Linked DNA regions of Caenorhabditis elegans. The protein of the gene in region 2 purifies or fractionates together with the protein of the main gene of each other region. This does not show direct contact. Each region holds a gene or a part of one and is shown on either strand. Other genes may lie near its edges.

The links.
Region 1: the proteins of sec-31 (region 2) and sec-24.2 fractionate together in Caenorhabditis elegans (co-fractionation; one large-scale study listed by BioGRID). This does not show direct contact.

Annotation. Positions count from the first base shown.
Region 1 is NC_003282.8:12,355,202-12,362,651, forward strand, and holds sec-24.2 (uncharacterized protein), read right to left. Parts: upstream 5,592-7,450; 5' UTR 5,569-5,591; coding exon 5,374-5,568; intron 5,310-5,373; coding exon 5,121-5,309; intron 5,074-5,120; coding exon 4,762-5,073; intron 4,718-4,761; coding exon 4,557-4,717; intron 4,252-4,556; coding exon 4,022-4,251; intron 3,964-4,021; coding exon 3,854-3,963; intron 3,802-3,853; coding exon 3,192-3,801; intron 2,825-3,191; coding exon 2,208-2,824; intron 2,158-2,207; coding exon 1,849-2,157; intron 1,805-1,848; coding exon 1,701-1,804; intron 1,202-1,700; coding exon 1,084-1,201; 3' UTR 501-1,083; downstream 1-500. Other genes in the region: best-22 (Bestrophin homolog), read left to right, coding at 189-292; ZC518.8 (Glutathione S-transferase), read right to left, coding at 6,563-6,646, 6,687-6,707.
Region 2 is NC_003282.8:11,365,277-11,374,358, forward strand, and holds sec-31 (WD_REPEATS_REGION domain-containing protein), read right to left. Parts: upstream 6,517-9,082; 5' UTR 6,477-6,516; coding exon 6,411-6,476; intron 6,364-6,410; coding exon 6,224-6,363; intron 6,178-6,223; coding exon 5,983-6,177; intron 5,935-5,982; coding exon 5,718-5,934; intron 5,673-5,717; coding exon 5,500-5,672; intron 5,395-5,499; coding exon 5,007-5,394; intron 3,248-5,006; coding exon 3,153-3,247; intron 3,108-3,152; coding exon 2,635-3,107; intron 2,588-2,634; coding exon 2,333-2,587; intron 2,286-2,332; coding exon 2,131-2,285; intron 2,084-2,130; coding exon 1,826-2,083; intron 1,780-1,825; coding exon 1,627-1,779; intron 1,577-1,626; coding exon 1,336-1,576; intron 1,290-1,335; coding exon 1,021-1,289; intron 974-1,020; coding exon 854-973; intron 716-853; coding exon 662-715; 3' UTR 345-661; downstream 1-344. Other genes in the region: Chitin-binding domain protein cbd-1, read left to right, coding at 7,718-7,763, 7,811-7,905, 7,951-8,506, 8,553-9,082.

The DNA of each region.
Region 1 (7,450 bases), 990 kb from region 2:
TGAAAGCTTGGTTTTTTTCGATTTTCAAGGAACCAAAATTATTTTTTTGCTTGCAGAATGAATAATTAGTAATTAACTTTTTTTCAAAAATACTCCTCGTGCAACTGCGCTCTACCGCACCACCATCCTTTTTCGTTGATTCTACAATATTCGAGCAATTTCTGAATATTGAGCATAATCTTTTTCAGGTGACATTGAAATGAACGTTGCCACATCGAATCCAAATCAAGTGCATCCACATTCAATTGCCGTATTTCCACCAGAAGAACAACAGACAACATCTCGACATTAAACAATATTTCCCCCTCCAACTGAGACCCCCCATTATATAATTCCGCAAGCTCTGTGATATTTGTCTCATTGATCCGGTTATTTATGTCTTTTCCAATCAGCCGGAAAATCATAACGAGTATTTATTTTTGTGTATAATAGTTTTGGTTTTTTGTTTCAAAATTCAATGTTTTTTCAACTCAAAAACCATAGATCCTTGGAAAAAAAACTTGATAATAAAACTGTTCACATGAGTTTTTGCTACAAAAGTGCAAAAAGCAACAAAAAATCGTAATAAATATTGCTATTTTGAAAAACCAAGAAAAAAGTAACATTAAAATCCTAACGGGGGTCGGCTGGATGATTGAACAGGAAATTTGAGGGGAAGGAAAAATGATAATAATAATAATTAGAAATACACTTTGGTATTTATCACTTTATCGATTTTTGGAAGAATTTTGGAAGACGGGCGACAAATAAAATGTATGGTGAGGCAGGGCCAAAAATGGTTGAAATATTTAGAGGATTTTCAAGAGACGGGGAGAATAATCACAACTAGAAAGAAAAAACACAAAATCAATTGATAAACCCATATCCGTTCAACTCGAGCACATTGAAGAAAGAACGGAATTTTCAAAAAAAAAAGAGAAAATAAGAACAATAATAATAATAATTACGGAGAAAGAAAAAACACCAAAGCAAAAAAAGACATGGGACACTGTTGGGAAACGGGAACAAAAAAGAGGGAATGGATATGTCACACGGATGAACTGACTGATGATGGGAACGGCATGGAGGATGAAAATTGATCAACTAATTACCACTAATCTCTCGTTTCAAATGCTGCAGGAATTCTACATATGAATGTGTTGATTCTGACCGATCATCGACAAGTCGCCGTACAAACACGTCACGGAGAGGCGAGTGTTCTCTGCAAAAATTAATTTTTTGAGCAAATCTGATTTTTCCATCAAAGCTTTGAGTGAAACTTTTCAAGAGATATTTCAGATTTTTCAAAGCAAAACTCTACAAAGATTTATGTTTCAAAATACGATACCCGGTCTCGAAGCGTCCTCAAATTCAAATCAAAGCATGCGCCTTTAGGGAGTACTGTAGCTGATAACAATACGTTTTTCACCCGTTTCTTAAATCTTAAGTTATTTTACACATTTGCACAAACTATACGATAAATTCTTTAGAAATGTGTAAAAACGTATACCACGCTCAAAACATAGAGTTTGGAGTAGCCTTTAAAAAATACAGTAGTAATTTTAAAAAGCGTATATCCTTTTTCATTTAAACAAATACTTGGTTGTGTTGAGATCGAAAATCGCAAATTTTTTCAAACGGCTCTGAGTTTTTATTTGGCAAAAAAATTTAGAAAATCAATAAAAACTTTTTTTTCAATAAATGTTAAATTAAAGACTTACTTAATCGTTATTATTGGTCCCAGATAGAATCGGAATTGTGTGACTTGCTTGAAGAACGCGTGCACTCTTCTCGACAATTCATTATCTCTTTCCAGAAGGGAATACTGTAATTTAAAATGTTTTTAAAACTATTCAATTGAAATCTCACCTCATCAATATCATTATACGTAGAAGTTCCGAAAACATTAACCAGGAAACCTGGATCTGCGGATGAAGCCACGTAGACAAAGGCAATAGTACCAGTTATCATCAGATAGACACCTCCACGACTGATATGCTCGAATGATAGTGGTAATGCTGGTGGCGACTGATCTTCTGGCATTGAGGCGAGTTCGTTGAGCCGATAGAGACGTGGATAAATGTCAGACAGAATTTGGTCCAATGGACTGAATCGCATCATCAACATTGCGCCGGCTCGTTCATCTAGGCGGATGCCACGAGACGAGGAGAATGCTGGCTGAAAATTAATTATTTAAATTTATTTAGTTTTTACAAATCAAGGCTTACATGTTTGAGCATAGCCAGCACATAACTTGGGAAGAGCCGAAGATGACCGACACGTGGAACAAGCATTCCACTTCCTCTCGATACAGCCTTCTGATATGCTCCAACACTGTCGACAACTGCATTTACAAGTGCTTCTCTTGAATCAGCAAGTGAACTTCCAGTCATAGATCGTTCTACTCCAATTTTAGCCAGATAGGATACCGTAGCTTTCAGATCAAAATTATTGTAAAGTTGAAGTAGATCACCAGTTGTTGGAAGGCACATTGTATGTACTCGAATACGACGATCACCTTTACTCGATGTATAGAGTAGTGCTGACTGGAAGCATACATATTGCGGAAGCTTCTCTTCGAGTGTCACTTGAGCCGCAAGTGCAGAATCTGGATTCACGTTGGCAAGTGCCAAAAGATCTGGAGATCGGACGAAGAAGTTTCCGTAGAAACCGGTTAGAGCGAGGCCACGAGACGTTCGAATACGAAGAACTGCTTCAAATCCGAGTTTTCGTGTCAAATATCGAGTGAGAGTCCGTTCGAATCGTTTTACTTGATGGATATCATTTCGATAGTTGTAGTTCGGGAAATGGTAGACACATCCTGTCGAGAACTTTGCAATTTCAGCTGAAAATGGAATTATTTTCAATCATTTTGAATTTAACTTTCAAATTTGACAGACAATTTGAAAGCTGCCCCGGATTTGTGGTGTTTCAGACATTTTCTACATTTTTTTAACGAAAAACTGGAATTTTTTCGGATTCAGCATCTACAAATTAACACCTTAAAATCGAGAAAAAAAATTTTGGAAAATCGATCTAACTACGATTTATTAACTGTTTGATTTTTTTTTTTAATTTTCCAGGTATCAAGATAAAAACTGTATTTGCAGAGGTTTTTTGATACACCGAATCTGAAAAATGTCAGTTTTTCGTTTTTAAAAAATTTGACAGCATCCCCTCACCAATAAAAGGAATTCTCCAAAAAAACCTACAAAGAGTTGCCAAATCAGCATATTGCGTGTTGAACATAAACAGATCAAGGCAAATCTGCGATCCGGTGCACTCTAACGATAGAGCTTTGTAGAAATCGGTTGCTGGCCCCAAATTCTGACCACCTTCCGTCGATTCTTCTCTGCTTTTCAGTGCTCCTAATCCAAGATTTGGTAGGCTGACTTGGAAGATTGATATCCTTCCTCCAACTTCTTGTATCATGCTCTGCGCGAGCTTCAATGCAGATCCGAGGCAATTTCCATTTGAAGTTGGGCCGATTTGAGAGTAGAATTCGGGAAGTTGCTTGATAAAAGTTCGAATTGTATCTTTGAATTTCTTCATAGGAACAAGCAGTGATGTGACTGATGGAAGAAAAGCGTCATCGATATCGTCTACAATCATTTCATTCGGATACCGCTTATTACTAGAAAATGAGAAGAAATGCAAGCATTGATCGACAGCAATGAAGCACACTTGAGAACGATCATCTCCTGGCATTTGATCTATATTGATGAGAAGTTGCTCGGCAAATGTGTGTAAATAGCCTGATTGAATTGCTGCAGCACTAATATCAATCACGAATACATAGACAGCAGGTTGAGGTGGACGTAACTGAAATCGCTTGTTTAAATTTAGAAAAACATCGTTTAAAATATGAAAATACCATGTATTCCGATGGAGCAATAAATTCAACCGTCGCATTTTGAATTTCCGGTCTGTTTCGAGGATCTCCGAATGCTTTTGTCACTGGGTCCCAGCAGAAATCATCAGGCACTGAAAACAAAAAATGGTTTTCGCATTTTCTCAATTTCACATTTTTCAGTCAACATACGGTCGTTATTTCTATTACAGAGATTGCATTTCCAGTGTCGATGATCAGGAAGATATACATATGGATTAATATATGTCCGACAATACCGACAACGTACAATATTCGATGTTTGTATAATATTGAGATTCTTAACATCTCGGAACGGATGAAGTGTTATTGCAAATGGTAATCGACTCTTTTTCAGTAGTTCTTCTGTTTGTGGAACTTGGGCGAGTGTTGAGCGGAAAATACTGAAGAGAAAATTATTAATATTTCTAATATCTGCAATAGTAACGATTCTGGATTTTTGCTTGTATAGACTCAAAATTTGGTCAGATGAACCAATTTCTTGATGCGAGATAATCGATCAAAATATGCAATAAAGGATTTAAACTAAATAAAAGTCAAATTCCGACAGCTGCGATTCGAGATTTTAGCTGATATCAGCCAGTAGCGAAGGCATTTTTGAGAAGTCTCACTACGAAATTCGTCCATTCGGCCACATTTTGAGTTTATTTATACAAACAGAATTCCTTCTTCAAGAGAAAATCCTCACTTTGGATCAACATGAGCATTCGGATTCGCGACTTGTTGAGGAATCTGAATCTCGATATCTTCAAAACCAAGTTGTTGAACATTTCTTTCAGCAATCAGATCAATTATATCATTGCGATACCCGCCCATTTGTTGCTGAGGACCAGGAGCTCCGCTCATGTTCTGAAAATCAACTTTATACGGGGAAATAACAAATATGAATAAACCATTTGTCCAAATTGCTGATTCATATTTTGCATTTGAGGTTGTGGGACTTGTGGTTGACCATACTGTGAATTTTGCTGTGGCTGGGGAGGATATCCTTGTTGCTGTGAAGCCGGAGGATAAGCAGCTGGTGCTTGAGGCCGTGGAGCCATTTGTTGCTGATAAGAAGGCGTTGGAGTTGGTGCCGGTGGAGGTTGAGCAGCAGGAAATGGAGCAGGTCGGGCTGAAGCAAGTGCAGATGGGATCGGAGGCTGAATACTTGGAGCTGCTGAACCAACTGATGGTGGTGGAGTTGGAAACGCTGGCGGTCGGGACTGAAATAAAACATTCAATTCTTCTGTATATGCAGTATTAACCATACCACAGCTGGTGGTGGTGGAGCATGATGGCCGTTCATAGAAGGCTGAGTAGCGGGTGAAAAGGACGGTGGTTGATGAGAAAATCCTGCAGAATGAGCTGGAAAAGCTGAAGCTGCAGTTGGATAATTTGGCGCAGCATGGTTATATTGATAACTTGGTGCTCCATTTGGGATTTGAGATACGGGTTTCACCTGAAAATAGAAAATTAAGGAAGGAAATGGAAATATGAAAGTAAAGATGAGAATCAATACATACCGGCTCTTGCGAAGTCGTTGCAGTCGGAAAAGGAAACGGATTGGCTGCATAATTGGGAGGAGCATTATTTAACGGAGCCGCAGATGGTTGAGAAAACTGACTGAATTGTTGGACGTGTTGATATTGTTGATTCTGGTTTTGACCGTACGCCTGCGGAAATCCAACGTTTCCCGGCGCTGTCGGTATATTCGACATCCGTCGATAGCTCGTGTAACCCGCTGAAATTGTATAATGAAATTATATTGCGAGAAAAGAACAAAATAAAACAAGTTCACAACGGTAGATAAATATTTAGCTGACGAGACGAATGAACGTGGCGAAAGAAATTTAATCAATAACTTCAGAGAGTACGGTAGATTTAGATGGGTGCAAACAGAATGACGAACAAATGCACAACTAGAGAAAATCAGTGATCACATTTTTTTCTAATTTTTTTTGCGCGAAAAACCAGCATACTGCTGAACAAATATAATTTATTTTTGGCGCAAATATCGTTTAAATGTTCACTTCAGTTTTTAAAGTCATTATTTTCATTTTCAGCAAAGTTTATAGCGTTTAATAATTAATTGCTCTTGAAATTTGCCTAACTTCGCAACGCTTCGAAATTTCGCGACTCTCTTCTCACCGGCGATCTTTAGAATAGATTTTACAACGTAAACAAAAATATTTATGACAATATTTTCTGATTTTGCTCGAGTATCTCATTGAACACGAAGAATTACGCCATGGAAGGCGACCTCAAGCGCGCGATGCACACAGACACTAGCGTCTCGCGCTCTTTCTCTTTGCCTCGCTGGAAATTCTTTTTCATTTTGCCTTCTTCTCTCGCCACACATTGGCGTCGTCGGTTTCTGCTTCATTGTGAAACGTGGATTTTGCGCTGAAATCAATAAAATCACTGTTTTCTCGCTTTCTCTTTTACTCTTCACTCTCACTCTCAATTTCCACGTAATCCTTGAAATAATTCAGAGGAGCGGAACAAAAAAGAACATTTACTGTACGAAAAATAGGAGAAGAGGTGGAAGAATATCGCCGAGAGGGAGGCCCTCGTATGAACAAAGCGAGAGAAGATCAGCAAGATGTTAAATAATTTTCATAGCGTTCAACACAGGTTTTATTAGTAAGTGAGAAGAAAGTTCCAACTCAGCAATTGGATCAAAAATCGATAATGGAGGGTGTTTTGAGTGTTTTAGTGTAATATAAATGAAAAATTGTCAATTTGATAAAGGTTTCCGAATGTGAAAGCTTCCCCCGAAACTGGTGTTCCTGGATTCTGTAAAAAGTGCGGTTGGCAGAAAACATTGAATGCATACCGTAGTTAGATACGCAGGCATCGCCGCGTTCGCCCGGCCAAGCCTCTATTGGAGCGACCGCCACCACCGCAGAGTGAGAGCGGACACCGTTCTCCAATTGTGTTTCTTAAAATAACAATATTTTGTTACTATTTCAGCCAAACAATCACTTCTGGCGGATGACCGGTATTTTAAATGGTCAGAGTGTTAAAAAGGTACTTTTTGAACCGAAAAAGTGTCATTTAAATGTATCTTGTGTCAATTCTCGAGAGAAATTCCACACAATTTAGTTAGAAAAACTCAAACTTACCTTTTAATAATTTTAAAATCACATTTTGAAAATTTAATTAAATAAAATTACTATTTAGATCAACATAAAAACGGTTTTAATTTTTTAAACTGAAATTCAAAATTTTAAAATTAAAATAAAATAAATTCATAAATTAAAACTATCTGTTGACTTTAATAATTTCAAAAAAAAAAAATTAAAAATGTGGTTATGCCAGTGGCCAGCGTGTATCTCTGATGAAATCATCATCGGTCGCTTCAATATCGATTTTTCGCGGCGGGCCCGCCATCTGCCGTGTACATTGTCGACCACGGACACAGACAGAGCATCATTCATTATTTTTTAACTTTTTCTAACCTACCTGTTAGTACTTTTGTCGGTCGGTGTAAGTTTTCAAGATTTTATCAACACCGAAATTAGATACGGATGATTTAAATCGGGTTTCGTAAGAAGATTGAAAATAAAGTTAGCAAATATTTTCTAAGCTCGTCGTCAC
Region 2 (9,082 bases):
CTGAGTACTGTAGTAAAAAAAAAATGAAAGGAGCACGCATTGAAAAATTAAATCGTTGCGAGACCGTTTAAACTAATTCAGTCAGTGTCTGAAGCTGATTATAATCAATTTTCTTATATAAATTTAAGATTTTTAAATGTGTCATTTCTCTTGACCATCTTATTACGAATCGGAAAAGGGTGTGTATTTATAGATGTGTAAACAAAAGCGATCAAATCGTAAAACTACGCAAAACTGAACAGGTTGATACTTTTTTCTTCTGGATTGGAAGAGAATAAGATATTTCAATAGGGATTTTTGCCGTCTGAAATCGAAATAAAAACGGATATAAAATTATAATATGTGGGAAAAAAACTCGTTTATTTATAAAGTACTTTAAAATCGAATAAATAAATATTATGACTACAACAAAGAATGATTACAAAGCAGTAAGAAAATTTGGGACTATAAAGCAATATCTAATTTTAAGTATTGGCAGGAATTTTTGGGGGTATTGGAAAGTCGTATTACACGCAATAATTATTTGGGACAAAACAGTTTACACGATTTTACACACGAAGCAAATGAAATATAATATATTCAAAATGTTGGCATTTTTGATAATTGATAATCAAAATCACATAACAATGAAGGCAACACTCTCATTATGACGCGGAGAAGATTAATGAGAGGCGAGCGAAAGAAGCGACTTTAGAGCCGGAAGGAACGACGAAATCTGCAAAAAAGACGAGTTGAACAAATAAGATAATGAAGAGATTATTTCTTTTTGGAGAACAATTCACTGTGCTTTACATATAAAACAATACGAATTGGCTTTCCATTTTTGTTAAATAAATCATAATACAAAATTCACCTCAACAAAATCTCCTGAATTCCGTGCCATTTGTGCCACAACTGCTTGAGCTTCACGAATCTGCCGCATGGAAACAAAGTAAGCCATATGAGTTAGATGCTGCTTCGATTCGGGAGACAACTGAATATTTAGATTTCAAATTATTTTGAAAATTAATGAAACCGTACCCTATTCGCAGCAAGACGCGGTGAGAGCTCTGCCTGAATACGAGTTCTCAAATCCTGAGCTTTTTCCATTCTAGCCTGAATTCTGGCATTTTCAATGATACACTGAGCCAATGTATTAATGGGTTCAATAATTTTCTCATCTTCCGGTGATAATTGGATTGGAGCTGGAGCTACAACGGATGCTGCAGAAGCCGGTCTCTGTTGATAAGAGTTTGGAGATGGAAAAGCTGAAGACGCTGCAGATGATTGTTGATTGTGAATACTCATTCCTGAAAATATAGATATATGCACAAATTGAAGAATTTAGAGTATTACCTTGAATTCCATTAGTCATCACATTTTGATACCCTCCTGCAAATCCGTTCAACTGCTGCCCAGTCATCATTCCACCAGGAGCTTGGGCAGTTTCTATAGGTTTCCAATTGATTTCCATCACATTTTGCTTTGGCTGGGCAACAGTGGTAGGCTTCAAAGCCATTGGAGGAGGATCATTCCAACCGGGAGTAACTGGAGCAACTGGTTTAGATGGTGGCATGTTCGCTGGCATTGTTGGTGGCTGAAATGAAAAGAAACTATGATTCTGTTCCGGATATTATAAAAACTCACTGGTTTATGATCCCATGATGGTGTCTGATAAAAAGTGGAAGATGGTGGCATTGGTGTCAAATTGGAATTTCTTCGATTATTCGAGTAATCCATAGGAGGTGGTGGACATTGAGAATGAGATGGATTATACGGGTTAAAACCATTTACGAGATTCTAAATTTTGGATAAATATATAAATTTAAAGTAAACTAACAAATACCGGTGGGGGAATAGGTGCCGGTTGTTGATATGTCCGTGTCGGTTGAACAATGGGTGGCTGTTGAGCTCTAGGTAGAGCGACATCAAACGGATTAAATGGTGGTTGATCCCCTGTACAATCTCGACCTCCGGCAACATTATAGCAAGTCCATTGAAGCTCTTGCATTTCAGCAGAACCATTTTGAGACCACTTAACCAAATTCCATGCGACGGAACCTGCGCCTTGAATGAGAAGTTCATTGGCGAAGTTCATGATTAGCTAAAAATTATCGTTTACGAGTTTGGAGATAATCTTGATTTTTCTACCTTCTCTAATCCATCCGAATACTTGGCACCTTTCGATACTTGATGAAGTATTAAAGCCTGTTTCAGTCGATCCACTAGTGTGAAGGATGTATTGGCAAGTAAGAGATGATCAATGTCTCCGGCAATCAAAAAAGCAATACAAGCACGGAGAGGTTCTGGAAACAAATTGAATCTATGATGTATTATTTTAAAATTCGCTAACTTCCTTGTTCCAACCATCGCTTTCCAATGCATTTTGCTGCTAATCTGATATCTGTCGCATTTGATTCGTGAGCAATTATGAAGCCAAGAAGCTCTGACCACTTTTGATCGGGGAAAGTTTGGAGAATACTTCCAATTTGCTGAGAAACCTCTTGTTCAGATGATTGCTTTGAAGGAGTGATTTCTGTTTTGTTAGCCGACGAGGACGATGAAAGTGCAAGAATTATAGAAGATAGAGGACTCGAGTTGTTGAATTCTGAAATTTCAAATTATAATTACAATATACAGCTCGAAAACGATTACTTTTATTATAATCATCAAGAATCATTGCCAAATGATCTGTTTCGTGTTGAGCAGCGTACATCATTGCGGCTACGTGTTGATTTGAGGAGATTAGAACACGAATGACTTCAAGATGATCTTGTCGAATTGTATGAAGAAGAAGATCCCATCCTGAGTTATCCAAAGTCGACCAATTAACACTAGAACATCTTTCAATGACTGTTACTTCCGGAATATCAATGTCAGTGTCTGCGCCGGAAACAACAGAAGTTGAACGAGCAGATCTATCAGGTATTGCCGTAGGTTGAATATTTGGATTTGAGACTGCTGATGCTGCGTTCTTCTCGGAAAACTCCTCATCCTGTGATTCTACAAGTCCTAAATAATTTAGCATCTTTGTGCGTCCAGCTCCTTCCTGTAGCGCGAGAAGAATAAGCCAAACTTTTCGTGTAAGATCTGCTTCTTCTGAAGTATCGCTTGATGGGGCATATGCTCTGAAGTTTTTAATTTTGATAATTTTAATCTGAAAATATAATTACCTCTCATGAAGATACCATCCTAAGTTTCGTTTATCATCCTTAATATGTAGATACTGAGCAATGTCGTTGACACCAACATCGTTTTCTGGAACTATCTGAAAATAGAAAAACTTCTGCCTTCTTCCTATATTAAATCCGGAAAGTGCAAGGGTCGTCACTTTTTGCGCAAAAAGTGTAACAAAAAATTTAAAAAGTTGGGTGTGCACTTTCGTCTGTAACTTTGCTGTACCTGCACATTTTTTAATTTTCTTTTTTGTAGGAAATAGAGAATCGCTTTTTCTATCTTATTATCTAAATGGTTATTTGATTTGATTTCATCTTTTAAGAGAAATTCTTGATGAAACACGAAAAAATCACTTTTTTCGCGTGTAGTGTCGCTTTTTTTGCACACGTTTAGAGGTCATAGTATAAAATGTTTTTGATAAGGTAACTGTATATCTGGGATTGATAAAAATTTTTAGTTTTTGCAATTTCATCAATTTTGAACTGAGTTATGATGATTTGAAAATCGGACTCGAAAAATCCCGGAATTTCGAAAATTGCGTTGAAAACATGTTTAACGTTCGTATTTTTGTTTTATTTTACATTATCAAATGTAAATTTTAACGTAGATTCCGTTTTTCTAAATAGTTTTCTCATTATCCAACCGGAAAGTTACGAAAAAAGCATAAATTGACGATTTTTCAATGAAATTGTGCGCAACCCCTTGGTGTGCAAATTAGTGATTTTTGAGATTCTTTCGGCTGTAAGTCGGTCAGTTTGGCACTTTTTGGGGTAAATTTTTCGAAAAACGTATTTTTCAGGAAATTTACTCTTCAAAAATATAATTTTTTTTACAAAAAAGTCAAAAATAACTTCAGAAATCGCAAATTTCTGCATTTTCTCAAAAAAATGACGTTTTTGCTGGAAAAATAAAAAATTTTCCACTACCGAATGGGATTTTATGTTAAATTCGTAATTAGTACATAAATACCGAATGCAAGCTGAAAGCACAGTCCTCTACGATCATTTTCAACGAATTTAGTTTATTTAATTTTTGACCTCGAAATTTCAATTTTCCTCTTTTCCTGGACCAGTTTTCTGTTGGATAATGAATTTTATGTCCTAATTCTTATTATTTTTGCTATGAGAAGCGAGACAAACTAAAATTTTTTGGTCATGAGTTCCTCGAGCCCCGTTCCTGAAGTTGTAGGCTTCAGGCCATGCTTAGGAAGCTCAAAAGTTCATTCTTCACCAATTTCTAAAATTTCAAATGCTATCATATTCTCCTTTTAACGCTGAGTTCAAGTATATACTTTTAATTTTTCAATTCCTACTATGAACAAAGTTACGACGCGTCGAAGTTTGAAAAGTCTTTGCCCGGCCCCCTCCTTCCCCTCATCCGCCAGTGGTAGTTGTATTATTCAACTCACCTGGGTACCCAACTCTTCCCAAAAATCAACATATTTGAATTATCAGTCATATAGTGGAGATATTCTTCTACTCGACACATCGTCACCCCACCATAAACCCCTCAAACATGTCGTCTTTGGCTGTCCACGTGTACATGTACATACAATTGCAATTGTTTTGAATAATTCTTGCCTGTGGCAACCTTTTTGACTATCCCTACAGTATATTTGATTACTTACATATTTTTGTTCTATTATAGCAGGCCGAAGGCCTGCTATACTGGTTCAGGAAGCCACGCAGGCCGTAGGCCTGCGGTGCGAGACCCAAAACATTGCCAATCGCACGTTCGAGGCGAAGCCGAGAACCCGCGCCAGCTAGCGGACTCGCCCCAACCCAACCTCTACTAGCGGGCCCCATAGGGCCCGCTAGTCAAAAACGAGATTTGTTATAAAATTTCAATACCGTTTCAATTTCCACATTATGGTGCCATTGTTGGGTCATTGCATCGTAGGACTTCCAGAATGTTGCCAACCGTCCACCTAATGCTATTGATGAGCCAATTAAGGGAGCACGGTGCCATGCAGGAACAAATTGATCGGAGATCCTAGCGGCAAGTACATCGGCTCCTGGTTGCGGAGATCCAAGACTAGTCAATGAGGATATTTGAACAGGATGTTGGAAATATTGAATAGCAAATTGTGATGGCTCCTCTTCATTCCATTTAACATTTCGGATCCAGTCTCCTTGAAGACTTCCAACACCTCCAAGCACCTCAGATGTTTCGTGATTCCATATAACCACTTGTCCATCACAGCCAGATGAAATTACAAGACGATCATCAGCTTTGTTCCTGTATTAATATTTTTCGTAATTTTTATATAGTTTTTTGTACAAAAATAAATTGTCTAGCTCAATTTTTATTATATAATCAACAAACTTTTAAATAAAAACTTACCAGTCAACACTCGTAATTCCCATATTATGATGTCTGTATTCTTTAACTGGTGTTGAAGTGAATCTCGAATCCCATTTCTGAATAACAGAGGCGTGTTGAGATTGGCTGGAAACTATAAGTTGTGAGGCGTCCGAAGGATTCCAAGAGAGCGAAGACCAATCACAGCCAGGAATCTGCAAATAGAACTTTAATAGCCACCAGGCAATTGAAAATCCAACCTCTGCGAATTCTAACACCGGCGATCCATTTCTTCTCAAATCCCAAAAACTGACTCTTCTGGACGATATGGAAGCAAACACAGACTCGTTCTTCAAGTTCCAGCGAAGAAGTTTCACTTGATCTGGGAAATTTGGCGAACCGGGAGAGAATGGTGTTTTCAGATTTGCGCAATCCCAGAGAAGAATTTGTCCTGAGCCTCCACCAGAAGCCATCCATCTTAAAAATTATTTTTTTGAATTGTTCTTGTAAACTTTCATTTCATACCTGCCGTCCCTGGAAACATCAATAGTGAGAACATGCCCATGATGATCTCTTCGAGAAAGAAGAACTTCTAGTGATTGATTCTTGATAAATTTATCAGCATCAAAAAATACCACAGTTCCGTCCTCTGTACCGCCAGCAATTATTCCGTTCGGATGTGCATCGGAACACAGAGAAGTCCAGGCTAATTCATTGAATCTAAAATTATGAAATACACTATACCGCTTCACATTATAATTCTCACCGATAATTAGTGGCATGCGACACATTCGGGGCCAAATTCGATTTTTCATATATCTCACTTGCTGGCAAAAAATCGATCTTTGGTTCGATTGATGTTGCAGTCGGGTCAAAAAACTGAGCGAAATCAGCAACAATTAAGCCCTGAAAATTTGATTTATTTCAATTATAGACGAAGATTGATTAATTACCTTTTTCTGAATTCCACGTGGACTCCAGACAAATACGCCGGAACGTGAGTAGAGCTTCGAGCTCATCGATCGTGTTCCGTTTAATGAGCAATTGTTGTAACTTTAGCTGTAACGTTGACGTGGATGAATGAGAGCAGCTGAACAGGGAGTAAGTGCGCTCCTTTGCACTCGAACAAATAGGAGGAAGTGAAAGTTTTTAAAAGAGTAGTCTTGATGTAATTCAGACAGCTAGAAACACCGATATCGAACGGAAAAGAAAAATGGCAGAATGAATGTTCCTTAGAATGTTCCGCATATAAAAATTGGGACTCCCAATTTGGGAGGAGTAATTCAAAATATTTCAATATCAAAAAGTGAACTCATCGCACCAATTTTCGAAAAAATAGAAGCTTCTTATTTAAAAATGTTTAAGAAAAATATCAAAAAGAAAATAAAACACTAATTGTTATATGTTTAAGAAATCAGACAATGTTTTTTCAAGTTATGTCGCGCGGACAGAGAAAACAGAGAATACACAAATTCTACTAATAGCTATTGAAAGAAGCGAGGAAAAAAGTTCATTAAAAACCTTAATTTCGCTATTCCCGAAGGAAAACGAAACGATGATTTTAAAAATCAAAAAAAAAATTGATTTTCCGTGGATCTGCAAAACGACGTGAAGTGTCTTTGCGTACTTTTGCATACCGTAGTCAAGTAAGCCGCTAATGTCCAAACTTTCTATTTAAAGTTATAATTATTTAAACCGACTATGAATTTTTAGAAGTTAATTTTTTTGTTTCAGAAAATTAACAAAAAATTGGATGCAATTAAAATTAAATCAACCAAAAAAACATATTTTGGAAAATGGAAACGGTTGGTATTAAAGGATCATGTATGTTGTTAGTTGGGTCTCGCCACGATTGCTAACTAATACCGTACTCTGTTATTTTTGGGCCGCACAATTCTTTAGTTTTTCTTAATTTTGAAAATATCTTGAATTTTCTCATAATATTTTGTTTGTTTTCATTAATTTTATGATCTAAAATTAATTTTTAAAGAATAAAATTGAGCAAATGTATGCCAATACCCATTTCAGACATGTAAAAGTGCAGTAGATCAAAAATTATTTGACCCCAGTTTTAGGCTCGAGCGGGAAATTTTTTGGATTGAGTTTTCAACCTCGAATGTTCCATTTCATTCCTTCTTCATTAGCTCTAATTTTTATTAGTTTCTCCTGAAATGGCGACCATTTTGAACCTTTTCTGTTTTTATTTCGTAAAACTTTTAAGTTAAAATATTCATCCTCTAACTGTTATCAATTTCAGGCGATGGGGCCACAGCTAGCCACCGTCTCGCTGCTTCTACTAACATTTTGTGAGTTTCTGCCTCTTTCTTTTCAATCAAATATTTTTATTTTCCAGTTTCGAATTCTATTCAATACCCGCACTCACCAGCAGCCACAGAATGCCCTGCATACTTCAACGGAAACATAGCAGGAAATGCATGCAGTCGGGAGGTAAACCAGTAGCCCTCCGTTTCAAATATAATTCTTTATTTTCAGTACTCGATATGTGTGAACGGAGTCAGGCAAGCAGCCACCTGCAGCGATGATTCTGTCTTCTACGAAGACGAATGTGTGCCAGTCGACGAATCTCCAGAATGTCGAGTAGATGAAAACACTGAAGAAGATGACACCCCATATGCGGAATTCGACTGCACATCGAAACAGGATGGCATCTACTCCATTGGCTGCTCTAACCAGTTTATCAGCTGCGTCGCCGGCGGAGCCTACATGGCGAAATGTCCTGATAGCTTGGTCTTTAACGAAAGAACCCAAGATTGTCGTGAATCTTGCGACGAAGTGAAACAGGACACAACTACTGCACCACAAGTCTACGAAGATGGTGAAGAAGGATACGGAGAAGCTTCCGGTGAGATTGCTGGAGATTACGAACGTCAACCGTCGAACGAGCAGCCGGATTCAATTGACTTCGATTGCAACGGTCTGGAAGACGGAAACTACGCCGACGGTTGCAATGACGTATTCTACTCATGCAGCAACAACATGGTGTTCCAGAGATACTGTCCACCGGGAACAGTTTTCAATATCAATCAACGTAAGTGCACGTGATCGAGTATTATGTTAATTTCTTCGTTTTTCAGAGTCCTGCGATTTCCAATGCACGACCGATGATCCAACGACCACTGTATCGTACTCAACTTCTACAATCACAACACCGCAAGAAGATGACAGTGAATACAGCTCAACAACTTCCGCTGATGTCATCTCAACAACAACAACACCTTCAATTGATGCTATTGAGACAACTACGACTGGATTTGATGCCGTGACAACGACAACAACGACGCAAACTCCGTTCGTTTGTCAGGAGGGACAAGTCAACTCCTTCGGGATGTGTTCGTCACGATTCAATCGTTGTCAGAACAACTCGGTGCGTTCAAAGCAATGTCCAGTCAACACTCTCTTCGAGTCCTCTCTCGTTATGTGCGTGTTCGATTTGCCACAATGTCAACCAATCACTGTTCCCGCCGCTCCTGCGTACAACTCTTACGGGCCTCCATCGGATACCATCGTCAGTCCATTTGATGAGAACGTTCGTCTGAAACCAAAATTCGACAGAAGGCGTAAGTATCATCATGGGAAGCCGAGTTACGGACCGGTAAATGGAAAC